4 linked regions of the Drosophila melanogaster genome follow. Changing the gene in region 2 together with the main gene of any one other region gives a genetic interaction. Each region holds a gene or a part of one and is shown on either strand. Other genes may lie near its edges. The genes, in order: nbs, mei-41, armi and mus301.

What was found.
Region 1: of mei-41 (region 2) and nbs, changing one enhances a phenotype caused by changing the other (phenotypic enhancement), as found in Drosophila melanogaster (2 studies listed by BioGRID).
Region 3: of mei-41 (region 2) and armi, changing one suppresses a phenotype caused by changing the other (phenotypic suppression), as found in Drosophila melanogaster (2 studies listed by BioGRID).
Region 4: of mei-41 (region 2) and mus301, changing one suppresses a phenotype caused by changing the other (phenotypic suppression), as found in Drosophila melanogaster (2 studies listed by BioGRID).

Annotation. Positions count from the first base shown.
Region 1 is NT_037436.4:9,719,889-9,724,816, reverse strand, and holds nbs (nbs), read left to right. Parts: upstream 1-1,622; 5' UTR 1,623-1,693; coding exon 1,694-1,712; intron 1,713-1,777; coding exon 1,778-2,599; intron 2,600-2,656; coding exon 2,657-4,191; intron 4,192-4,251; coding exon 4,252-4,332; 3' UTR 4,333-4,369; downstream 4,370-4,928. Other genes in the region: defl (deflated), read right to left, coding at 1-1,275; CG14174 (uncharacterized protein), read right to left, coding at 4,370-4,928.
Region 2 is NC_004354.4:16,390,081-16,394,717, forward strand, and holds the start of mei-41 (meiotic 41), read left to right. Parts: upstream 1-1,617; 5' UTR 1,618-1,680; coding exon 1,681-1,907; intron 1,908-1,966; coding exon 1,967-4,178; intron 4,179-4,235; coding exon 4,236-4,529; intron 4,530-4,603; coding exon 4,604-4,637. Other genes in the region: TH1, read right to left, coding at 1-312, 383-1,095, 1,212-1,274. UniProt on the Drosophila melanogaster protein: Serine/threonine protein kinase which activates checkpoint signaling upon genotoxic stresses such as ionizing radiation (IR), ultraviolet light (UV), or DNA replication stalling, thereby acting as a DNA damage sensor.
Region 3 is NT_037436.4:3,459,700-3,466,832, reverse strand, and holds armi (armitage), read right to left. Parts: upstream 5,517-7,133; 5' UTR 5,371-5,516; intron 5,293-5,370; 5' UTR 5,259-5,292; coding exon of another isoform or gene 5,163-5,258; intron 4,730-5,162; exon of another isoform or gene 4,713-4,729; coding exon of another isoform or gene 4,530-4,712; 5' UTR 4,493-4,529; coding exon 4,049-4,492; intron 3,972-4,048; coding exon 3,543-3,971; intron 3,477-3,542; coding exon 2,874-3,476; intron 2,817-2,873; coding exon 1,854-2,816; intron 1,785-1,853; coding exon 981-1,784; intron 925-980; coding exon 601-924; 3' UTR 519-600; downstream 1-518. Other genes in the region: CycJ (cyclin J), read right to left, coding at 1-147, 211-294; CG46463 (uncharacterized protein), read right to left, coding at 4,530-4,712, 5,163-5,258; eIF5B (eukaryotic translation initiation factor 5B), read left to right, coding at 6,591-6,661, 6,735-7,133. UniProt on the Drosophila melanogaster protein: Probable RNA helicase required for axial polarization of the oocyte during early and mid oogenesis. Plays a central role in RNA interference (RNAi) process, a process that mediates mRNA destruction of translational repression.
Region 4 is NT_037436.4:8,135,811-8,142,551, reverse strand, and holds mus301 (mutagen-sensitive 301), read right to left. Parts: upstream 4,745-6,741; 5' UTR 4,716-4,744; coding exon 3,920-4,715; intron 3,861-3,919; coding exon 3,408-3,860; intron 3,351-3,407; coding exon 3,145-3,350; intron 3,070-3,144; coding exon 2,467-3,069; intron 1,948-2,466; coding exon 1,069-1,947; intron 997-1,068; coding exon 862-996; intron 801-861; coding exon 717-800; 3' UTR 538-716; downstream 1-537. Other genes in the region: Setx (senataxin), read left to right, coding at 5,339-5,521, 5,583-6,660, 6,735-6,741. UniProt on the Drosophila melanogaster protein: Single-stranded 3'-5' DNA helicase that plays a key role in homology-driven double-strand break (DSB) repair.

The sequences.
Region 1 (4,928 bases), on a different chromosome or scaffold from region 2:
TCCAAATTCAGCGTTGGCTTTAGTGATCCTTATACCGTATGTCAGCACCCTACGGAGATCGCGGGTGCACTCCGACCGCTTGGCCGTGCAAAGGAGCAATCCTTCCATGTGCAGGTTGACCATATGAAGAATATCGTCCACCTGCTCGCCGCTGCCCTTTTTTTTTAAACCAAATGCTACTAGAACCGACAAAACTGCCATGGCCTGAGTGGCGGTGGTGTAGTCGTCCAGCTTGCTAATGCACTGGATGCACAAACGGAGCAGGGCTACGCGATGCTCGCGAAGCAGCTGCTGGCAAGTAAGCGGGCACTCGCTTAACTTCAGCAGGATTGAGAGGAAGAGGAACTGCTCCTTGGAATTGGTACACAATTCAAAACGATCAATGAGCGCTTTGATGGCTGGCTTGGGCCAGGCATGAACGCTCTGACGTCCGGCCAACTCGTTGAAAGATCGCAGCACCTGTATGCGTACTGGTGTCCTTAAGTCCTGCATGAAATCCAGCAGAACATCCAGCTGACCGGGCACTCCCACCAGCGTTCGTGATGACAATTGAGTGAGCGTGTCTATGATGGCCACCACAAAGCTCTGGGCTGGATATTTGGGCAGCAGATCCATGCACAGTCTGCTAACCAGTGACGCTGTGGTAGCCTCGTGATGCATGTGTCGCAACACGGGAATCAGGAGCAGCTTCATTGGCACCGGCACCTGAAGCGATTCGATCATGTCCGAAATCTTGGCGCACATGCTGATGGCAAAGGAACTTGACTGGGCGGCAAAGCAGCTGCTGGCATAGATGGCAGCCTCCACCTCGACGGTATCGTGGCTATCCAGAGCACGTCGAATGGCATGATGAACCTGTTGCTTCTCGGGAATCACACGGGAAACGGCGCCCAAGGTGCGCAGGAGGAGAGCACGCGCCACCGGATCGTTGGAGTGCATCACCACAAAGATACAGCGCACAAAGCTGTCAATGTTGAGGATCTTGTCCAGATGATTCTCGCTCTGCTGGCAAACACGGAGCACCCAGAAGCGCAGCAGATTCGATCCGCTGACAAAGTAATCGGCCAGCTTAATGAACGACGAGTTGATGAGAATGGGAAACGGATACTTCTCGAAGAGGCGCGGAAAGCGGACGACCGCCTCGCACTGGATTCCCTGCTTGGTGCTCCGCAGTCCCTTGTCCAGTTCCATGAGCACCGCATTCGAGTCGTGCTCATTTTCGTTAAGGAAGCTCTCGTTGAAGGTGCTCACGCGGGTGCCGGTCAGGTGAGACATGGTTACAGGTTTCCTCACTCACATTTATCGCAGATAAATCGTGTTTATTGAGGTTTTCATTAGCCAAACGACACAAAAACAAACCGGCTGCAAATGCTTCTTCTTGCTAATTTGTCGTTCGTAGGAAACTCCGGTATCATTGCAGCGATAGCTGGTCACTTAACAGTAAAAAAAACGTTTGAATCCAAAGTCTATATTGTCAATTCTTTATAAGCGTTTGTCGATCGATAATAAAATTATCCTGATTTCTAAAATAAGAAAAAAATCAATTTAAGAAACAACTATTAACTTAGAAAATTATGTAGAAAGTGATGTAGCCTATTATTCTCACTCCTTCTTTGTCTCTGTGTAGATAATTTGCAAATCTGCTAAGGTCACACTGCTCGCTATTTGTTGAATTTGTTAATGTTTTGAAATTATGTTTGTTTTGACTAAAGGCACGTAAAAATGGTCTAAAACACAGAGATTATTAGTTTATTCATTTTTTAAATACTCTTTATAGATGACGAAAAGTTTGTGTTGTTTCCTGGCAAAAAGGTGTACACCATTGGTCGCCTGGCCACGGATTTAATTGTTGCGCAGGACCTCAGTATAAGTCGCAATCATGCCCAGCTGCTCATCCAAACGGAAGCGGATGGCGATGACACCCTGCATATCGAGGACCTTGGCTCCAGATATGGCACTTTCATTTTCCCCAAGAATTCCCAAAAGCCGCGCAAGGTGCCTGCCAAAACATCGACTCCATTGCCTGTGGGCACACGCTTGCGATTTGGCGCAAACATGAGCATTTGGCAGGTGACCCAACTGAAGTTGGTTACAACTGTCTCCGCATTAACGCGTTCCGAGGTCCAGGAGCTCACGAAGATGCTTGAACCCATGGGCGGCACGGTCACTTCGAACTGGACCGAAGAGTGCTCCCATCTAACCATGAACGAAGTTTCGGTGACCGTGAAACTACTGCACGCTATGCTCGAGAATAAGCCGATTGTGACATTCCCCTACTGGCGAAAGATGCTGCAGGCAGCGCAGAGCATCCATGTCAAGGAGGGCTGGCCTCAGCCGGAGGATTACCAGCCCACCAACATAGATGTCACCTGGCGTCCTGAGCGTACCCGTCTCTTCGCCGGCAAGACATTCGTCTTCATGAACCGCAAACACTTTGATATGTACGGATCAGTTGTGCAGAAGGCTGGAGCCACGTGCAAGGACATCAATTCGGGTGTGCGCAAAACATTCCTAACAAAGAGTGATGTGATAGTCATACAGTATGTGCCATCGTCCCAGTCGCAGGCCACTGAATCAATCAATAGTATACAAGATAGGTGTAAATATATTGCTCACATCACAGCGTTTAAGTATTATTATGTATTATAATTTTTAGATATTTTGGAACAGAATGGTCGACGTATTATCCAGGAGTACGAGATTGGCATGGCCCTAATACATTGCTCTATAACAGAATTCTGCAACCCAACGCACAAGTTCATCTCCGATTCATTGCCCACCACGGAGTCTGTAACTTCCTCGATGGCCTTTAACTCTTCGATCATTGTGCCCAACACGGAACGCCACTCGGCGCAATCCAATGCCACGCCCATTTCCGAACTGGTGGTGCCTGAGTCAATTGAATGTGAAATGGAACAAGATGCTTCTAAGCCCCATTCGGAGGACCAAGCTTCTTTGCGTAAGCGGAGTCATGCCTCAACAGTTGACTCCTCGGACGAGGAGAAGAAATCAACATTGTCTAAGCGAGCTAAATCGGATATCGCTACGAAACTGACCATGAAATCAAAGAATGCCATATTGTTGGACTCGTCTTTGGAAGAAGATGTGACACCAGCTCCGGCGCCTGCTCCAGTTCAACGAGTAACAAGGCAGAGCAAAGCCATCGCTGAGGAGAAATCCGTACATCCACCTGTTCCAGCTGCGAGTAAGCACATAACACGGAAGACCAAACAGGTTTTTTGTGTTGACTCATCGGATGAGGAGAACGAAAATGCTCGGAAACCAAAAGAAACGCCAGCTCCAACTATCCCTTCGATGGCCAAGAAGAAAACGGAAGCACCCGTTGCCACCAGGATTTCACCACGACTCAATGGGAAATCATTGGCCACAAATATTACCAACCAACCGGCTGACAAACATGCAGTGCCTGCAAAACGTCCTGTTTTATCGGTGGCCTCGAGTGACGAAGAAGATGAAGGGGACCTATTTCAATTCCGTAAATCTCCACAGAAGCCAGCAGAGACTGTGGTTCAGCCAAGAATCGCAGGCAAAGGCAATGCACCTGCCAGAATCAGTGTAGTCGACTTTCTAGAGAAATCACAGGCACAAGAACCAGCTCCAGTGCCACCCCAATTGGAGTCCCAATCCCAGACACAACCGCGCAAGCGTTTACGCCTTGAGCTGCTAAACGAAAGCGACAGCGATGATTGTGATAATCTTTTTAACTTTGCAGACAGCAAAAAGAAACGAAAGACGCAAGAGGCTCAGAGAAATGATGACTCCACGGATGGCTTGTTTAACTTCAACTCTGAAAGACCGTCTGATCATGATGACGAGGATTCCCGGTTAACCGAACCATTTGTACCCGAAACGGAAAGCAAGAAGCAATCCAAGTACATAGTGGCACCGCGTAGAGATAGACCCAAGAAAGTGGACATCAGTGGTTGGTTATCGTGTAGCAGGCTAAACGATAATATCAAATCCGAAATAGATGCAGACTCAGTTAAGATGGAAACCTCTATTAAGGCGGATCCCGATGAGGAGCAATGGCTGGCCGCCATGAAAGACAGCATTGAGGTGCGCATGTGCAACTTAAACATTGTCATTCGCTCCCAGGAGGAAGTGGATGCTTCTCTTGAGGATTCTGTGAACAAGCATGGCGGCCGCAAGAACTTTAAGAAGTTTGTAAAGGTGAGTCTCGAATTAATAACAAATATTAAAACGACTTATTTATTTGTGTACCTCTGTTAGACCAAAAATCCTCATCCCCAAAAGCGAATTGTTGCGCTTAAGAGTCTTCGGCTGGCTGATGGTATGGTAACCTGTGTTTAATGTCGTGCCTAAACGTAATTAACCGTCGCTTGTGAAGTTACTTTATTTTGCTAACAATAAACTTGCGAAATATGTTCAACGCCTTTTCCGGCTCCTTGGACAACTTGCGATTGAACATCGTCTGTGCGGCCAGCCACTCGTGCTTGGCTATCTTTCTGGTAAAACAACTTTCTGGAGGAGGATTCAGTTTCCTGGCCTGCGACTCGCGTTCAATGAACTTCTGTGCATCCGCCACCGTGGCCAGAACGTTTTCATTGAATGTGGGTTTCTTTGTATCTTGAACGGGTGTTTCCTTCCTGGCAATTATGGTGCCCACATCAGATTTGGCCAACAGTTTGGCTTTTTCTACTTTGGTGACGACTTTTTTCGGTATCAGGACAATGTCTGGTGTTTCGTCTTTCTGCGTTTGGTTATTAGTTCTCGTTGGAGGTTCTAATCTGGCAGGAAGCTCTTGATTCTCCGCCAGAAACTTGTGCTTCTCCACCTGCGGAAAGTTAGCAATCTGGGGGCGCAGTTTGTTGTAAAGTATGGCACTTTTGCCGGCCTGCAAGGAGCTCAGTTTGCTAATCTTGGCAATGGCAGCGATTAGCAGCGTG
Region 2 (4,637 bases):
ATTGGTCGCTTTTTGGCCGGCTGGTCGATGACCGCGGACGCGTAGGCTAGCAGAAACATATACTTCGGTTTGTGCTCGGGATTGATTTTAACGCCGGAACGAAAGAGCGCGTCTACCAGTAGCTCCAGAAACTGGGGGTTTCGTATCAAGTCGATGGGCGGTGGATCGGAACCGGAGTAGTTGCGAAACAGCACGGTGATATCGGCGGGATTCAGTGTATTGCGGGTGAGCATGGAAGTTAGGGCTTGACATGCTTGCGGATAGACTGCCGAACCATTCAGGGCCATTGTAATAGGCGTTACATTTTGATTGCTAAACAATGAAGCAAAAGAAAGGATTTATGTTATGACTAACTATGTGGAATCGTCAGTTATTTTCATACTTCTGCAGGGCGTATTTAATAATTTCCTGAGAGAGCCGCTTCATGTTGAACCCACCCTTCTGCTCCTGGCTGAGGACCTGGATGAGCACCTGGGAGTATACGTAAGTGTGCTGGCCATGGCAGACCATTCGTGCGCACTCCTGAATGGCACCGTGCACATCATCCGGATTGTTTAGAAATTTGACGATCGAGGTCTTTAGAACCCGCGAGAAAACCTCAATCTGCTGTGCCGCTGTCGAAATGGAAGTGATCTCGCTCTGGAAGCCCGCGTCCGAGATCAACTTGATTGTAAAGTTCAGCATTAGACAATCGGGATATTCTTCGGCCAGTCGGTAGATTAGCGAGCGCCACGTATAGTGGTCGATCATCTCGGTTAGCCAGTCGGGCGTCTCACCCTCCTCCGTGAATATGGTGTCCGCCTTCTTGGGATCGAAGGACTTAAGAATCATTTCCTTGAGATGATTCTCCACCATGGCCTGGACTTCGGTAACCTTGACGCCCGCCAGGATGAGCCATTCCGCAAGCAGGTTGGCCATCTGGGCCACCGCCTTGTAGTTCTCGGATAGCATCGATATAACCTCCTCCGGAGATCCGCCCGACTGAAAGTAGCGCTTCAGCTGCGTAAATATCCCCGGCTCCATGATGTAGTCCGGTGTGAGGAACTTCTCCAGGCATTCCTGTATCGTCTTCTGCGGATTGTCCTCAAGCGTTTCCTTCGATTGGGATGGGATAACATGATGTTTAGTTGTTATTTTTTATGGTTTATCTAGTAGCGTCATCAAATTGCCGGGATTGCCTGCCACGCCGTACACGCTCTATACTCAATTACCTCCGGATTGGTTTGTCCTTTGGCGCGGCCCTGCCAACCAGAGTCGTCGTATTCCACTTCCATTTTTTCTCAAAAACTTATTTACAATAACATAAAAATATTTTTCTTATTTTGATTAACTATGCATTTTTAGTGTGACTGTAAATTGTTAACCACGACGCGCACACCTACGCGGGTTATGCGCCGTTTACACTTAGCAAACTCTTCTGTTAATTTCATATTATGCAATGTAAATCTTAAATTTGAGGAGAAAAAGAAAATTGTCAATAAGTGTAAAACGCGGTAATGTAAACATATATTAACTAATTTTTTTTTAAATTAATATATGTAAAATCGCAGTTGGAACGTGGCTGTTATTCAAGAAAAAGAAGAAGAAGCTGCCAAACATATCGATAGCCACAAGTGCGGCGAATGCCGGCTTTCGTAAACAAAGGTCGCGTTTTTGCGAGTTTTAAATAAACTTGGCAAAATGTCGACACAACGGAAGGATATGTGGAAGTTGCTTTACAACCACGTAAACCGGAACGTAAGCAACTTTTCCGGCGTGTACAGCGTTATAGAAGACATATTGTGCCAGGAGCCGAGTCTGATAAGCTGTTCGTTGGTGCGGGAGCTGCACAACAAATTCCAGGACACATTCCTACTCTGGCTGCTCAACAAGCTGGCCAAGTGCCTTAGTGAATCTCCAGATAGCAGGTAAGATGAGCCACAAGCATTGGACTCCAAACTTATGACACACCGTTTTTCTGCTGCAGCGAGTGCATCAATCTTCAAAGGAAAATACTGAGCTCCTGCTGTTCCAATCATCCTAAGCTTTTTGAACGCCTTGTACTGGCCTATGTGGAAGCCATTGAGGAGACGCACCTTCAGCTAAGTTCCCTGGACCTCGGCCAATTGAGTAATGAGCGAAAACCCGCCATAACTGTAAGAATATTCCGATGCGATGTGGAATGCCTGCAGGAGTTCGATCCGCACTGCGCTATCGAGGACATCAAGGTGCCCCTTGAGCAAGCCGACATGTATGCCAAGAGCCTGCTGGAGGTCCTCCAGCATGCCCATCACATTGGATACGCCACGCACGGCGACATCTTCTCGGGCAGCCTTCATCAGGCTCTGCTAATCCTCAAGGAGTGCGACATGGACACAAAACTGGCCAGCTTGAATTACTGTCACAATGTCCTACGATCACAGTCGGCCAGCAGCTGGATAACAAATCCGGACGTTGGACATTATGCGCAATTAACGTTGGAGGCGACGGCAATCATGTGGTCGGCAGTAGCCAAGTGGCTGGACATGGGATGTATGACGCGCCAGGAGCTAAAACGGCTCAATATAACAACAAAGCTACTGCTAGAAGTTCTGCATATGCGTGCACGTCCAGCCCACCATCTTGGCTACCTGCTTTTGAACGAGATCCTTAGTTTGCCGACAGCCATTGAATTGGACGATGGACTGCTGGAGACCCTAAGTTCCTATATTCAAGGCCAGCTAGAGCATTCGGTTGTACCATTGGAGCAACTGGTGCACTTGCAGCAGCTTATGTTAAGCCATTGGCACTGCCACCCCACACATTTGGTGCCCATATTGGCGCTAATGGGCTTGAAACAGACTGAGATGCGCTCAGGAGTGGTCCAAGTGCTTACCCAAAGTCTCGTTGAAATCTTGAAGAAGGAAGAAGTATTGTCGAAGGATTGGCAGAAACTGATTGCTATTTTACGAGGCTTCAAGCAGCTGGAGAAACTAATTCTGTCACAGAGTCAGCATAAAATAGCTGAGCACGAAGGTCACATCGATTCCTCAGTTCTGGCCATGTTACCGCTGCAGTGTGAAATCATAAAGGTTGCGGATACCAATTGGAATAACCTTTCAATGCAGCTGGTTGAGCTGGAATCAAAGTGTTCCGCAGACCGAAGACACATACACTTGGAAATCTGCTCCCTTTTGATGCAAATCACCTTCATCCGGCACTTTTTAAAGACTCAAACGCAACACCAGCTGCTGGCCATTCTTCAGCGACATTTGAAGCTGTCCTACCTTTGCGCCATTCGCTTGGAGACACCTTCTAGTGTTCATACCCAAATGCAAAGCTTCTATGCCCAGCAGTACATGAGGCTATTTCAATCCGAGGAGACACAGGAGATATTCTGTAGCAACCTTCCGCAGTTGTACATATCGGGTTTCATAAAGCCGGAGCAACTGATGAAAGCTCTGCCCACCATTAACAATCGTAGTGGCCGCGCTCAAGTTATACGCCTATTGCTCTGCTCCCAGCCAGGTAAATTGAGTGTCTTTAAAGTCAAAGATCGCATTGAGCTATACTGCCCGAAATGCAGGCCACTGCCAAAGAAACTGCCAGGTATTTACCTCGGAAAATGCAAGCAACAGCTGCCATGTCCAGACTTTTCAAGCACCAACCTCGAAATGATAGCAAATGATTTATTGTTTTATCCCGATTTTGAATGTATTGCCCAGCATCTGGACCTTCTGTGCTTTGAACCCAATGTGATTCTTGGCCTGCTAAGAGAAACGGAGGCACTGCAAAAGGTTAGCGTTAAGGTTATCGGCCAGCTGGTCTCTGCGATGCGTGTGCGTTCGCCAGAATTCTTGGAGCAATTAGCCAATCTTGTTCTAGCTGCTATAAAAGCAATGCTAGCAAAGCCACTGACAGAGCAAAATGTGCTGCAGCAAAGAAGTATGCTCAACGTACTGACCGCCATTGCGCACATGGAGGATAATGAAATCTGGCTCTTTCACTGGTTCAAAATGACATTCTTCTTTCTGGTGCACACTCGCTCACTGGTGGCGCAAGAAGCTGTGCTGGCGGCCACCGAGATGTGTGCCAGCCAGGGTCTGCAGACGATTCATCTGTGGAACTGGTACAAGCGAGATGCTCTCGACCTCACCGTTCGCCTGGCTTTGAACGTTTATCTTTTGGATGGCGTACGCTTCACCCGATCCCTCCGAGCGGTGCGTAAATAGACGAACTTTTCTTCACTTCCCAAAATTTGACCGGTCTGTTTGCAGCTTACGAAAATGTTGGGATTCACGTGCGTTCAGGAGTTCACCTGCAAGTATCATCGCCTTCTGACTGCCATGGTCCTGCCGCATTGCATCGTGAATCCGCTTTGCAAGGGAGTTTTGGTATTGATAGCCAAACAAATGCAGAAACACATTGGCACCTTGTTCTCCATCTCGTTCCTGCGGATCTACACACACGTCTTCCTGACCGAGGAACCGGAGTTGGCCAATAGTTGCATCGAGCTGGTGGTCAGTTGCACCCAGTCCAGCCTGCAACAGCTAATGAATGCGGATGTCAAGGTGGGCAGAAGTTAATTTATATTTTATTATTTTATCTTTTATTTTATTTTATTTGATTTGGTTATCACTTGTAGCAAACGGTGGCCGAGTTGCTTATATATTTCAACC
Region 3 (7,133 bases), on a different chromosome or scaffold from region 2:
CGCCAGTTTGAGCAACTGCAGCATTCTTCGGCGCTCGTTCAGCTGCGGCGAAAGGTAAAACAAAGGCCGACGGCTGAGTTCTTGCTCCCTCATGGTCAAAAATATATCCCGGGCATAGTCGGTGAGCCAGTGCGTCTTAGCCAGGCGCTACAAATTGGTATTTAACGAAATAAAGTCGGGTTCGCAAAAGTTAAGCACATGTCCGTTCACCTCGACATCTGCTTGCGGGCAAGTTTTCTTCAATTTGCGGTCGACGACGAAGATGTTCTGCTCGGCAGCCACTTTCTGCTCCATTGTATCGAAATTGAATGCAATGCCTTAAATCACCGATTTTAAGGCAAGAACTTAACGGCGGAAAAAAGCAAAACAAATGAAGGAGAAAACAAAAGGAGCGCAAACATGGCGCTACAACGGTTCCGGCCAGTGCTACCACACTGCGAAGCCAAACGAGCAGCGTTCCCAGACTGCGCTTGGGAGTGTTACCATTCGCTAAAATTAGCACATATGTACAAATATTTAAAACAAGTTTAATGATTAATTGTGTTACTTTAATTCATCAATAACAAGTGTTTTAATTTAATAATAAACTGTCATATGTGCTTAGTTCAAATCATCTGTAGTATTCAGTGAAGGCACGAATGTTTCCAAGCAAACGGGGACCTCATCTTTCTGATTTATCACCATTTGAGGCAGATCACAGCCAAAATAGGCGTTATTTTTGACACAGAACAGGATTAGCTGGCGCCAGCATTCGTCGACGGCCAGAAGATGGGGATTCCCGAAGATGATCATCATGGCACGTGCTCGGGAAACGGCCACGTTAAGTCGCTTGCTGCAACGCACGAATCCCAAGGAGAAGCGGGCATCCATGCGCAGGATCTCTTCTGATGAACGCACCGTGGATATTAGTATAATGTCTCGTTCCTGGAAATAACAAACGTTAAGTGTGCACGTAATATCGATTTTAGTTCCGACCCCACCTGTCCCTGAAACTCCTCGACGGATCCAATCTTCGGCATGACCACGTCGGTGCCAATGAACATACTCCGAAGCATCTTCACCTGCTTCTGATAGGGCGTGATTATACCGATCTGATCGGCAGTCACATTGGCACGGTACAGGGCGATGGTCATTAGGAACACCTCCCTGACCTCTTGGGGATTGAACCAGGAAGGGGAATCGTTATTTTGCCTGTTTTCGCCAATGATTCCGTAAAAGAACGTGCCGTGCGCTTGAGGGATATCCTTTTCTGACTCAAATACACACCGCAGTTTACTTAGTAGGCGAGATTCCCTTGAATCCTTTTCGGAAAGAACTGGGATCAGTTCGTCATCGTAGAATAGCCTGCTATAAATGCTCATAATCGACGGTAATGCTCGGTAATTGTACAACAATTTGGTTAGCACTAGTGGATTGTAGCCGGAGCTTTCGGGAAATCGCTGAAGATCTTTTCGATACGGCGACCGTTCCAGCAATCTCTCCAGAAAGGATATGGAAAATCCCATTTTCGAGGCAATTCGACTGGTGACAATAGACTGCAGCTGGCGAGGATCACCTGAGAGAACAACTTGAGAGCGTTTCTTCGTTAGCATTACAATGGGTACCATTGTTTCTGGTTCGGTGCATTGACCAGCTTCATCGAACAGCACGTGAGTGAAATGGCCCGCTGGAAACCCCAATTGTAAAAAGTTTCCCAAAGTAGTGCAGGTGGAGATGGTAATGCGATGAGTACCTATAAACTTAGCTTGACAGCGAAGCTTCAATCCCGATTCGGTGACCATCATCTATAGCAAATATCAACAAAGCCAAGATTAATTGGTGTCCAATCCAAATGATAAAATTTTTCTACTCACTTTGTCCTCGCAACTGCCCACAGCACCGACATCACTTGTGGCGCAGTAGCTCATTATTTCCGGAGGAATCAAGTCTTTCTCCACTTGATTGTACGAAACGAGGCGAATGAAATCTCCCTGGAGCAAAGCTTTGCTATCGATGAGCCTCTTTGTCACCAAATCCGCTGAGCTGTTCGACGGCGTTCCCACCAAGATTCGGGCACCAGGCAGATTCCTAACCAACTGGAGTAGTGTCTCAATAAGTGTCATTGTTTTTCCACTGCCCGGAGGCCCAAACAGCACATAAGGAATGTTCTCCGCTTCACCGCGCAGTATATTGAAAACAGCACGTTTTTGGATGGAATTAAGCGACTGATTATACCACTCTAATTTCGAATCGTACAAGTACATGTCGTCATCCTTCATATAAACATCCAGCTGGGGATTCTCGCGCTTGGTTACTTTGCTGGGAAACAAGAAATCCTCGCCCATTACTCCTACAATTTTGGAGATGGCATGGTGTTGCTTGCGAAAACTGTAGCGTGAGAAATAGAACTCTAGTCGATAGTCCTCGCCATTATATTTCTCCTGGAAACTGGAATGGAATTTGAGTAAAATGCGATCGAAGAGCACCTTATGGATAATGCCCTCGTATGACTTGGTGGTCTGGGAATCGGGATCCGACCAGGGATTAATGACTCGCAGTGTATCGCCAATGACCAGCGACGGTCGACGCTCGGCTAGATTCTCGATCTGCAGCGTGAGGAACTCTCCGTCACGCAGAAAGTGTGCTCGGTCTCTGTCGTAGTTGCGAAAGTTGACGAAGCACTCGATCTCCTCGAGGTGTAGGAGCAATCTGAAACGGTGCATATAGGTTTTAATGCTTAGGGGTTCCGTGAGGAATGAATAGTGCTGCTCGATGGCCTTGATCATCTCTTGTCGCCGTTCACTAGTCAAACAAATTTGGCGCAATTCTTTGGGCACCTTAAAAGAACGGTAGTATTAAAAATAAGCATATTTTTTAATGAGAGGACTCCTTACTTCAAAGCAACCCAAACGCAGAGCAACAAATCTGCGCTTGGTAACAATTTGTTGTCCCGGGATTACATCCACCTTGTTGCACCAAACTTGGTTGGCATAGAACCGGGACCTCTCCTGGCTGTTACGACCGGGTGCCATCAAAGCTTCAGCTGCTATCATACGTTTCTCAGCTTCAGCGACTTCCTCCTTGGTTTTGCACACGATCACCGTGAAGACGCGCCTCACCTTGAGTAGATCGAAATTCAGCACGTACTTTTCGATTGCTTCCCCCAGGAACTGCGTATGGATCTCAAAGGTCACCGTTATTTCGGAGCCGCTGGATATTTCCTTTGATTCGAGAGGGCTGACCACGCTCAACTGAGACTCACTGTCATTGCAGACGGTGATGCTCTCCAGGCGCAAAGTGCGGTTTAGATTGTTGGTCAGCTTTAAAGATACGCTCTCCTTTTGCCAGAGCTCTGCGGTGATGAAACGATTTACACCAGTCACCGTCACTGCTTTTCCACTGCCGGATGATCCCATACTGCTCTGCTGAGTCAGCTTGGTAGCCCCAAAATTTTTCTCCAGCGGAGTAATCTTAATGGCGCGTCTCGTAAATTTGGACTGGGGAATTAAAACACACGTATAAAGAAGAAAATCGCAAGATTTTATGTTCCTTCTTTAACTTACATACTGGCACTCGATGAGATCGGCGAGCACAATGTCGCCCAGATGAAGATCCGTGCCTGTAGGCAAGTCTGTCTTTAAAATGTAGGTTTCCGGACCCAGCACAACCATGTGCACGTACACGCGCTCCACAATGCACTTTTCACCTTCCTGAATGCGGGTGGGAAACAACTTTGTCACCTCTAGGATTTCTCCCTGTTTGTCCACGAAACCGTCATCCAGCTGAATGTTGCACTCTAGGCGCACTCGATCTCCATTCGTTGGGATGAAGTTCATCTCGATATTGTCTAGCTCGACGGTCAGCTGTCCGTATTCCGTTTCGACGTCTATGGAAGATGCCAGACGCTGGCTAATCAGACCCAAAACGCTCCTTGTTTCGGTGTTAAAGAATGTCGGCTTTTCGTTCTTCAGGTTGTCTACAGCTTTTTCAATCTAATAGAAGTTAGGATTACAGATATTAAGCATTGGCTTTAACAAATGGCTAATAAATCTAATACCGATGAGCTTACCTCCTTTTGGCTTGTGTCCTCCCAGGAATGCTCAAGGATACTCTTCACCTTGACCACCCGCATGGCTTCCCCCGTTGTAAAAGTCAAATATTCCACTACACATCCGACGTGTAGATCCAAGATGATATCCTCTGCCACCTTCGTTTCGAATAAAACGTCTTTGTCGATGACTCCCCGATCGCCGTCTAGACTGGTGATCACTCCCTTTCTGGCGGTGCAGGAACTTTCTTTACTCACGTCCATTTCCGAAAGTCCATGCGTAAGCTCAGCGATCTTGTTACTTAAAACCCCATTAATTTCGTTTGGATTCGCCTTAAGCTGTTGATCCATCTTCTCCTCCATTAGTTTTTGGTCTAAAAAGCTATTCTCCCGATCCAAACTTTCCAGAATATCCTCCCGGTTACGATCCGGGTTCGTGAAAAACTTGCTAACGTATGTGAACATTTTTGAAAATGTTTCGCCGATAAATGCTCTGCCGTTCCTACTGCGCTGCTTTCTTGTCGAGACTCTCGTACATCCAGTCGGTTTCGCTGAGATAGCTCAATTCCTTGCGCAGATTCTGCAGACGCTTCAAGTGGTTCTCCGTCGTCTCCGCCGCCTTCCCGCCCTCGGTGGTTTCGCTCTGCGATTCCGCCTTGTCAGCTCCGATCTCGGGTTTCTTAGCCTGGAAATGTGGACCATCTGTATTGTAAACATTTGAGAACATACAATGTTACCTTCTATGACACCGAAGGCTTAAATATCCTACAATTTTCATTTAACAACATTTTGTTGTTTTACTTCTACGGACAATTTTTGAAATATTTAGAGAATATTTATTTATAAATTTAAATGTATTTATAAGAGCATATATAAAATAAAAAAATTAACATTTGTATACATTTTCTGTATGTTTTGTAACGGAAAATTAAAAACTTTGTGTTAGGGTTCTTGAATTCAATAGTGATTTGTTTTTTAGTCTAGGCTGTTAAAATAACTGCAAAAAAGCAACAGTTTGAATGGAGAAAAAGCAAACGAAAGTCTCAAGAAAAGCGACAGCAACAGTTACTCCTGCACTGCTTTCGTCTCCTTCTACCACGCCAAAACAAGGATGGCAACAACAACAAACTCATACCTCTGTTTCACTGGATTCAACGGGAATATTGGTGGCCGTACCGCTTGTAGATGCTTCTTCTTTGATGGTTATACTTCCGGATGCTTCGCTGGACATTGTCCAATCACGCGGATTTACCTTGGTTATCAAGCTGTGGACCAAATATGTGAGTTCCTTACCGGCTTTTTGCAAATGCACAGCCGGATTTGCTATTTGTACTCGTACTTACAAATATTCTTAACGCTGTTGAATTAGTAGATGCACTGCACTTTGAGTTTTAAGAGTTCAATGGGAAATAGTCATAGTATTCGAAAAAACTCTCGAGCAAAATTTTGAGCACAAAGCGTCTTGGCGAACTTTTAAGTGTGACCGGACTTAGCGGCGTAGAAAATATCCTTGGCTGTGGTATTTTCTTAAAGTGTGTCAAATTAAAGCGGTGGAATATGAAACGTGAGGAAGTTGCTTATGTATTTATATTTTCCTTATTTAAAAAAAGTTCTCAAAAATAAAATGAAACAAAAATGTAAAGTAAAGAACTCAAGAAAGTATATAAAATATCGGCAGTCCACATTTAAGTTTTTGTTTTTGGAATTTACCTCCTCACAAAAATAATACACACGAAGAACTTGTTCTTATTCTTTTATCTTTTTTTCAAGAGTACCTGTTAGTTATCTGTCACTTACATTTAAGAAATAAGCAATCAAATTCCAAAATATGCCAAATATCTTTCCGCAATCCGGAAAGTTTTTCGAGTATATGTGTAAAAAAGTCCATAGATGGTTTCTTTCTCCATAAATACCCTAGTGATCGATATTATTTAAGAGTATGTTCAATACTTTTCGCAGTTGAAATAATTTACCAATTAGGAAAACCAATAAAACCAACTGCCCTATGTCTGATGAGTAAGAAACTGAGCACCAGAGGCGATAAATGGTTCCCGTAAACAGCGCACGCCAGCGCCGAGGCCGCGATTCTATTGAAAAAGGTGTATATATATTTAATATATCTTTATGTACAACTATAGACTCAAAACAAAAATACCCCGCTCAACTGGATATTACAGGGTATAATCGATAACCTTAGCTCAGCCATTGTGATTTTCAGCAATCCACTCGCACGGTCACACTGCCTGTCCAACCCTCCCGCACCGTACTACTCGACAACGTGCTTGTGTGCAGAATTTCCTCGGCTAAATAAAACCAAAAATTGGCAAAGCGCCGTGTCAGATCTAGCCGTCGATTGCACAATTCCGGAGCAGGACGTCGTCGCTGGAGCCACCGAAGCGGAGTCACCATCAGAAGATCACCAGCACCAGGAGAACCCAGTGGACAGTCCTCCTCTTTTTCTTGGCTGCCGAGGCGTCGCGTGTGCGTATCTTTCAGCGGTGAATAACCCACGGCTTTTTGTTTTCGGCCAGAGGAGGAGCGTGTTGCAGTCGCAAACGGGAAGATGGTTAAAGCTAAAAAGGGCAAGAAAGAGATACTGACCAAGGTCGAAGGCGGTTCCTCGGTGGACGAAATGTGAGTCTTGTGCAAGTTCATGCCCACCTGCCAACTTGGCAAACTTTCTATCGCAAATTATTCAATCTTACAGCTCCGATGTGGACAGCGACCAGTTGAGCCTCAACAACAAGCAGAATCATGCCCTGAAGGGCAATCAAGCTGGCGATGACGATGTTAAAGCCGTGACCAAGGGGGTCAAGAAGCTTAATGTCAAGGGAAAAGGCAAAGCAGGCAAAAATGACGACTCCGATGAGGAGGAGGTGGTGCCCGCCAAGGGCAAAGCTTCTAAGAAGTCGGCTTTTGAGCTGCTAATGGACGACGACGAGCAGGACGAGCCAGCTGCCCAGGAAAGCCAGTCTGAGAAGGAGGAAAAGGTAGTGGTCTCCAAGCCACAGAAGAACGAAAAGAAGGGCAAAAAGGCCAAACGCAAGGGGAAGGACGACGACGATGAAGATCTGGACAAGGTTTTAGCTGAGCTTCAAGCGGAATA
Region 4 (6,741 bases), on a different chromosome or scaffold from region 2:
GTTTTCAGTTTCTTCAGCTGTAAATAAGTTTCCCCAACACAAGGAGAGTTCCAATTTGGTGCACGGCTCCAACTTCTTAAACAAATCTGTGTCTACTTTAGTCGTTTAGCCGCACAAAACGTACTCGTAATTCGAAATGGCTCGGGACATATGAAGCAATAGCCGCCGAAAAACAACATAACCGATGATAACCTACAGCAATCATTTATCTGAGAATTTTTTGGGTACATTCTGCAGAAAGCTCTTTTCAAAATTTACCTTCGATCGATTATGCTATTTTTGCTGTATGAGCTATATATGTCCAGAACCCCCCTACTTATATATACGTTGTATAATACTCAAATGTCGTGATAGTAGCAGCTTGCGAATTTGTCTGCTAGCTCGTATCTAGTAGTTTATAAAAATAACTCCCTCCTACTTGATTATGTCCAATTAATCGAGAAGCATAACATAAAATATCCAGCAGAACAGAACAATAAGGAAAATATGCATTGATGTCCTTGATTTACATATAGAATGAAAAATACCTAATGTGTTAATTTAAAACTGCAATTTGCATACAAATTGTCTATAATATTTAAGCTTCGTCGGAGATCGTGTTCGTTGTAGAGAACCCAGATGCAAGACTTAAATCGGAGTGCATAACAATCAAAACAAAAACTGAAATAAATTTAAAACCCACTTAAGCTGCTGTTTTTACTTGTGTTTACGTCCTGCTAATTTTTATCAGACGTTTTTAAACAGTCCTTCAGGTTCTCCGTTTCCTCTTCCAGGTGGTCGAGCTTTTTCATTAAAATTATCTAGAAGGAATCCAATATAAGCTTATTAAATGGGTTACAGAATCAAAAGAACAACGTGTACCTTTGCTGCCGAGACAATTTCCGTGGCCACTCTAAGCGGCATGTGCTCTAAGGATTGGACTAAGTGCGACGGCCTCACTCTGGCTATATCCCCAATGGTTTGAAAACCCGCAGCATACAACTGCCTGGCACGATTCTAGAAGAGTAATGCAATTTGGAATAGTCATATCTACTTTTCTGTTAAGGACAAGATTATTTTGCCACTCACGATCTTAACCGCTGGCAGTTCCATTAGCGGCTCCAGCTCAAATGTGCCGCATCGATCCATTTTGTGCAAGATCCGCTCAAACAATGGTTTATAGCACCAAAACTCTTCCAGCTCCTCGCACAGGCGAACAATGGCACTCGCCGCTGCTGTGGATTGACTGATCAGATGCTGCAGAGTTCCCCGCTCCACGTTGTACTTGCTGGCCACGGAGGGAATCGGTAGGAGGTTAAGTATATCCGCCAGAATAAGCACCTTGTAGAGGCGATTCAGCTGCAGGGACAATGGACCTTGCACCGACTGCGTCTTAAATAGCCTAGCTGCATGGGCCTCTGTAAATCCAAGTTGTTTGAACATTGCCTGCGAGTCCAGTGGAAGCGAGGTGTAAACTCCAAACAGAATGCTGGCATCTGCCGGAAACAACTCGTCTCCTCTTTCGTTCGAGTTAAAGCACACGACAAGGTACAGTAGGTGCAAGTAGTTGGTCAGAATGAGCTGCTGCTGGGCCTGCTTGAGCTCCTTGTGAATGGCATTTGCACGCTTGTAGTCGATGCCCGCCTTGAAGGCAGCTCTTCCAATATTGGTCAGCTTAAATGGCGTCGACTGTCCAATGAGCAAACGTCGATCGCCAGCGGGCCTATTTGCCTGACTAACATCCTGCGATGTTATAATATCCGAAGAATTGATCTTAGATTTCGCCTGCGGTTCGGCAAGCTGCAGCACTTTATTTTTGAACATCTCTCGGAGAATACGGAGCACGATCTCGTTCACGGCCACCTCCAGGGATTTGGCCTGCACAGACAACAGTGTGCTGTTTACCAGCCGATTCAAGTCTCTACGACATTCTGCTAAATTCAAGCCAACCACGCTGAGAATAAGCGACTAGGGAAAAAAATTATATTATGTTTATGCATATCGTAATTTGGATTAATCAAATAAAAGCATAAAAAGAGATAGAACTGCCTTCTGTCCCATTACTGCCAATTTGAAAAAAAAATTACAAATCTATATAGAAGGGATCAGCAAAATTAAAAGCACATTTTGCAATAATGTAGGATGTGGCCAAATTTGGTAGTTAGGACGCGGTCACTTTGTTTAGAAAAATGTAAAGGTAACACTTTTCATTTCCCTTCTTCAGTCTTTAAACAGATTTCGCCTAGGAAGTCAGTGACAGCAAGAAACTACATAAAAATCTGCGATTTTAAAAAAATAATTGCAATTTAAGGAAATATTCATCGGTGTAAGTAAAAAAATAGTAAATAAAATAAGAGAAACTCCGGAAATTTTTACGTTTAAACAAACGATAAAATGCAAAATGAGTGTTTTAACAAAATTAATATTTTCTTTCTCATCAAGATCTGCGTAAAAAATTCACCTAATTTTCGCTAATTAAAAACTTACTTGCAGTCCAACTGCCTCATTTTGATCCAAGGAACTTAAAGCCTTATCCATAGGCGAGAAAAGCATTTGTCCGACCAGCAGATTGTCTTTGCTCTGGGCTATCAGGATACTCTCGCCAGCTTCACCCAATCCGGCGCGACCTGCTCGTCCCACCATTTGCTTATACTTGCACAAAGTCAGAAATTCTTGACCCACATAAGGAGCACGTATGATTACCCGCTTGGCTGGTAGGTTGACCCCTGCAGCCAAAGTGGAGGTGCAACAAATGACTGTGACGACTCCAAATCTATACGCAGTCTCAATGTACTTCCTCTCATCGGTTGTCAAGCCCGAATGATGATAGGCAATCCCGTAGGGTAGGGTTTTCGCCAACACCGGGCTGAGTATGCCGCACATCTTGTCCAGGGCATCCATTAGATCCAACTTCTCGCTACGCCGATGCTCAAAAAATTTATGCTTTGGCACAATGCGACTGAGAAGTAGCGCCACGTTCTCACAGTTTTTGCGGCTAGGACAGAAAACCAAGCAGCAGTGTTCCGGAGCACATTCGCTTATCAAACCAGCCAGATGGTCGGGATCGGCGCGTTTGACGGCTTCACTGTACTGCAAATAAAAATTAGATCAAAATCTTTTACTTTCGGCAACATTTTCCAAACGTCTAATTCGAATATTCCTTACATTGTACTCTACACTGCGACTGGGGACGAATATCTCCTCCAGCGTTTGACCAGCCGAATTTATTTCCAACAAATCGGGGCCACATTTGATGTACTCCTTTAGCTCAACTGGGCGAAAGCCCCTGGTGTATACATCAGCATTCAAAAAAGAGGATATTTCGCTGAGATTTCCTATTGTGGCACTCATGCCAACAATTTGAATATTGGCTAGAAAACAAAAATTCCATTAATCTGTACAAAAAGTACCACAAAATATCCACTTACCATTTAGAAACATCACTTTGGTAAGGAAAGCCTCCAAGGTGGCCCCTCTACCCTTTTCGCCTATCAAATGCAGTTCATCCACCACCACCAGACCTATCTCATGAGGACGTTGTACGTCTATCAGGCTGTCCATTAGAACAGCTCCCTTTTCGATGGAGGCAATGAAGAGACTACGTCTTTTGCGACGCGGCTGAGGCGGACACTTGCCCTTGCCGGCCGTGTATTCCTCCACAATGAAATCCAGGTCGATTGCAAATGGAGACATGGCGCTCACCTTCTCCTGGACAATCGACACATATGGCAGGATGAACAGCACATTGCGTTCGCGGCAAAGTAATTCACGCAGCATAAGGATTTCGGCTACTAGAGTTTTTCCACCACTTGTGGGCAGAGCGTAGATCAGATTTTTGCGCTGCCTGATGGCAGGTAGATTTAGGCACTCGTCCTGCCATTCTGCGGAATTAATGGGATCGTAAACTAAGCTTATATTGGTTTTCAATTAGCAGTCATACCATAAAGACTATTAATGCCTTTGTGTTCCAGAATCATCTTTTTGACCTTATCCGGCAGGCCATAGAATTCGCCCTTGCTGGGAAACTTGTCTATATCTTGGTTATTCTTCTCGAAGTCCGCAAAAGCCTGAGTCTCCCAATTGACTGGATCTAGGAGGGATTGGTTCTTCAGCTCTTCGCAGGTCACATACTGAGTGCCCTGCACTAGGCCCTCAATCACAGATTTGGAAATGAAAGACATGGAATCGTCTTTAAGGGGGGCCAGTAGCTTCTCTGGTGTTTTGGGCTTCTTAAAGGTCATTGCGTCCAAGAAGAGTTGTGTGTTTTGAACCATGGGATCACTAAAATCATCGGCGCCATGGAAAATATCCTCCATTTCGGCAATGCTCAGATCGTTGAGGTTGATTTTCTTAAACAGCTTGTCGGCGTTTTCCTCGTCCGCCAGGTCGATTTGATGTTTATCAGTTGGTGCACTGGCTTCATCCGGTTTAGAGGCACTGTTGGGTGGAACACTCTGTGCACTTGGAAAGGATGTGTCCGCAAAGAGTCCCAGTCCATCATCCGACCCACTTTGCGTCATCTTGTTGGTACTTGTGGTTGCTTGCGTGCCAAAGAGCTCCTCCTTTCGTCCGTCCAGCAAATCCTCCAGATGCGCGTTGGAAAAGAAGCTGTCGTCGTCTTCGCCCTCCGGCCAAAAGAGGTTTTCGGTGCACTGACGCTTGGCATGGCTTTCGCTTGTTGATTCCTCGCTCAAATCCAAACTTCTTTTTTTGCACAAATTATGCTTATTTGCCATTTGGCGCGAAATAGTGTGAACTTCGCGTGAAAATGAAGGAAAACTCAGGCCAGGGCTGCAGCATGTAAGCCAAGTTTATAACCGGGATCGTGTCTCAACTTAAGTGTTGATAAAGTCGTATTCCCTAACGATCGTTCCTTTTATTTATAAATATAACATTTACGGTATACGATTTTCTTCTTTTCGTGTTTCCTATTAAATAGGCAAAATCTGGCAAAATTTTAAGAGCTACGCTAACAAAATAATTACAACCGGCTTAAATGTACTTTAACGTTGCACTCCCCTAATTCGTTTAACAGCACTGCCATTTACTGTTTACCGCTGACCAAAAAGTGCGTCTTGTTGCTAGTTTAAAAAACGTAATTAATACGGGTTTTGAATACCAGAACACCTTCGCGTTTTAAAAAGTAGATTGAAATACTTATGTTTCTTATTACGGGAATTTTGTATTTGCATAGAGAAATCCAACAATCAATGCAGTAATTCACTACCACTTGGCAGATTTGTTGTTATAGTAAGTGCATGAAGCGTCGCGCACATTCAATGTTCAATTTTCACTCAAAGTTAGCAGTTTTCACAATTTCCTTCAGTTGAGTACGAGTGTAACGTAACAGTTGGTCAGGATGAGCAGCGTGTGGTACCTGGAACATGTGACCACTGGCGCACGGCTCATCCTGCACAACGGCACTAATTTGATGGGTCGCCACTCGCGTTGCAGGATAATCTTGGGTGGACAGTACCAATTTGTGTCCCGGGAGCACGCCAATATCATCGTGAGCGAAAAGGGCGTTGAGGTTGAGTCTCTGGTAGGTTATTGCAGCTCACCTAAGATGTACATGCTTTTAATAGTTTATGCTTTTATCACAGAACCCCCTGAATGGGCTCTTCATCAACGGGGGCAAATTGGGCGACAAGATCAACCGTCTGGCAGTAGCTGAGGGCTCCACAATCAGCCTAGGAGTCACGGGAGTCAACCTAAATGAAATAACTGGCATACATGCTATATTCATCCTAAAGAAAAAGGAGCCGGTAGTCGAGGAAATCGTTCTGTCGTCCGACGATGACGATACAACACCACTGCCCGCCGTGCGATGCCCCACTGGCACTCAGCCCACCGAGTTCAATCTGAAACAGCAAATACCAAACTTTGGCGGCAAACAGGACCCCGGCCAGGAAGAGGAAGTACTACCTTCGAGTTCCAATTTGCATCTACCAAAACTAACAGAAGTTAAGCAGGAAATCGTAAAGCATACCTCCGAAGAGATACAAAACATTTTTGGTGAACCAAGTGACGCTATTCTGAATTCTGTATTGGAACTAAATCCATATCTGTACAACAAGCTAACTAACAAGACCGCGAACAATGAAATAACCCGCAAAAAAATACACGACGGCGACTGTATAGAACTGGACACGGATACGGATAGGAGGAGCATTTCGGAGGCGCAGAAAGCCGAAGACCCTTCGGCAGAGCGGGAAGTAGACGACGAGGAAGAATACGATGAGAGTTTCGCCATGTCTCAGGCAGTGATCAGGGAAATGAAGGCCGAAATGCACGTAAGTGATGGCGAAGAAGACTTCTTGCTGACCAATGGCATGGGAAACTTGCCTGAAGGTTCTCCATCGAACCAAGCTTACGACGACATCGTCTACGTCAGCGATTCCGATGACGATGAGCTGTACGATAAGGTGGCGGATTGGTCAAAGCTGCTAAGCCAAAAGGTGGTACCAGACGTCATAGAAATGTCGCAGACCTATCCGCTAGAGAATGAACACAAAGATTCAGACTCAGACTTAGATATTGGAGCAAAAAAACCGAAAAGGACACTGCGGATCTCATCCTCCAGTGACGAAGACTCTGCAGACGAAGTGATTGTCCATCAAACAAAACAAAAGGGAAGGCGCTCCAAATCGAAATCTCCAAACGACCATGTTGTGCGGCAGGGTAAGTATACAAATAAATTAGCTATTATTAATATGACTAGTAACAATATTTATATTGTTTTATCTTTGAAACAGCCGACAG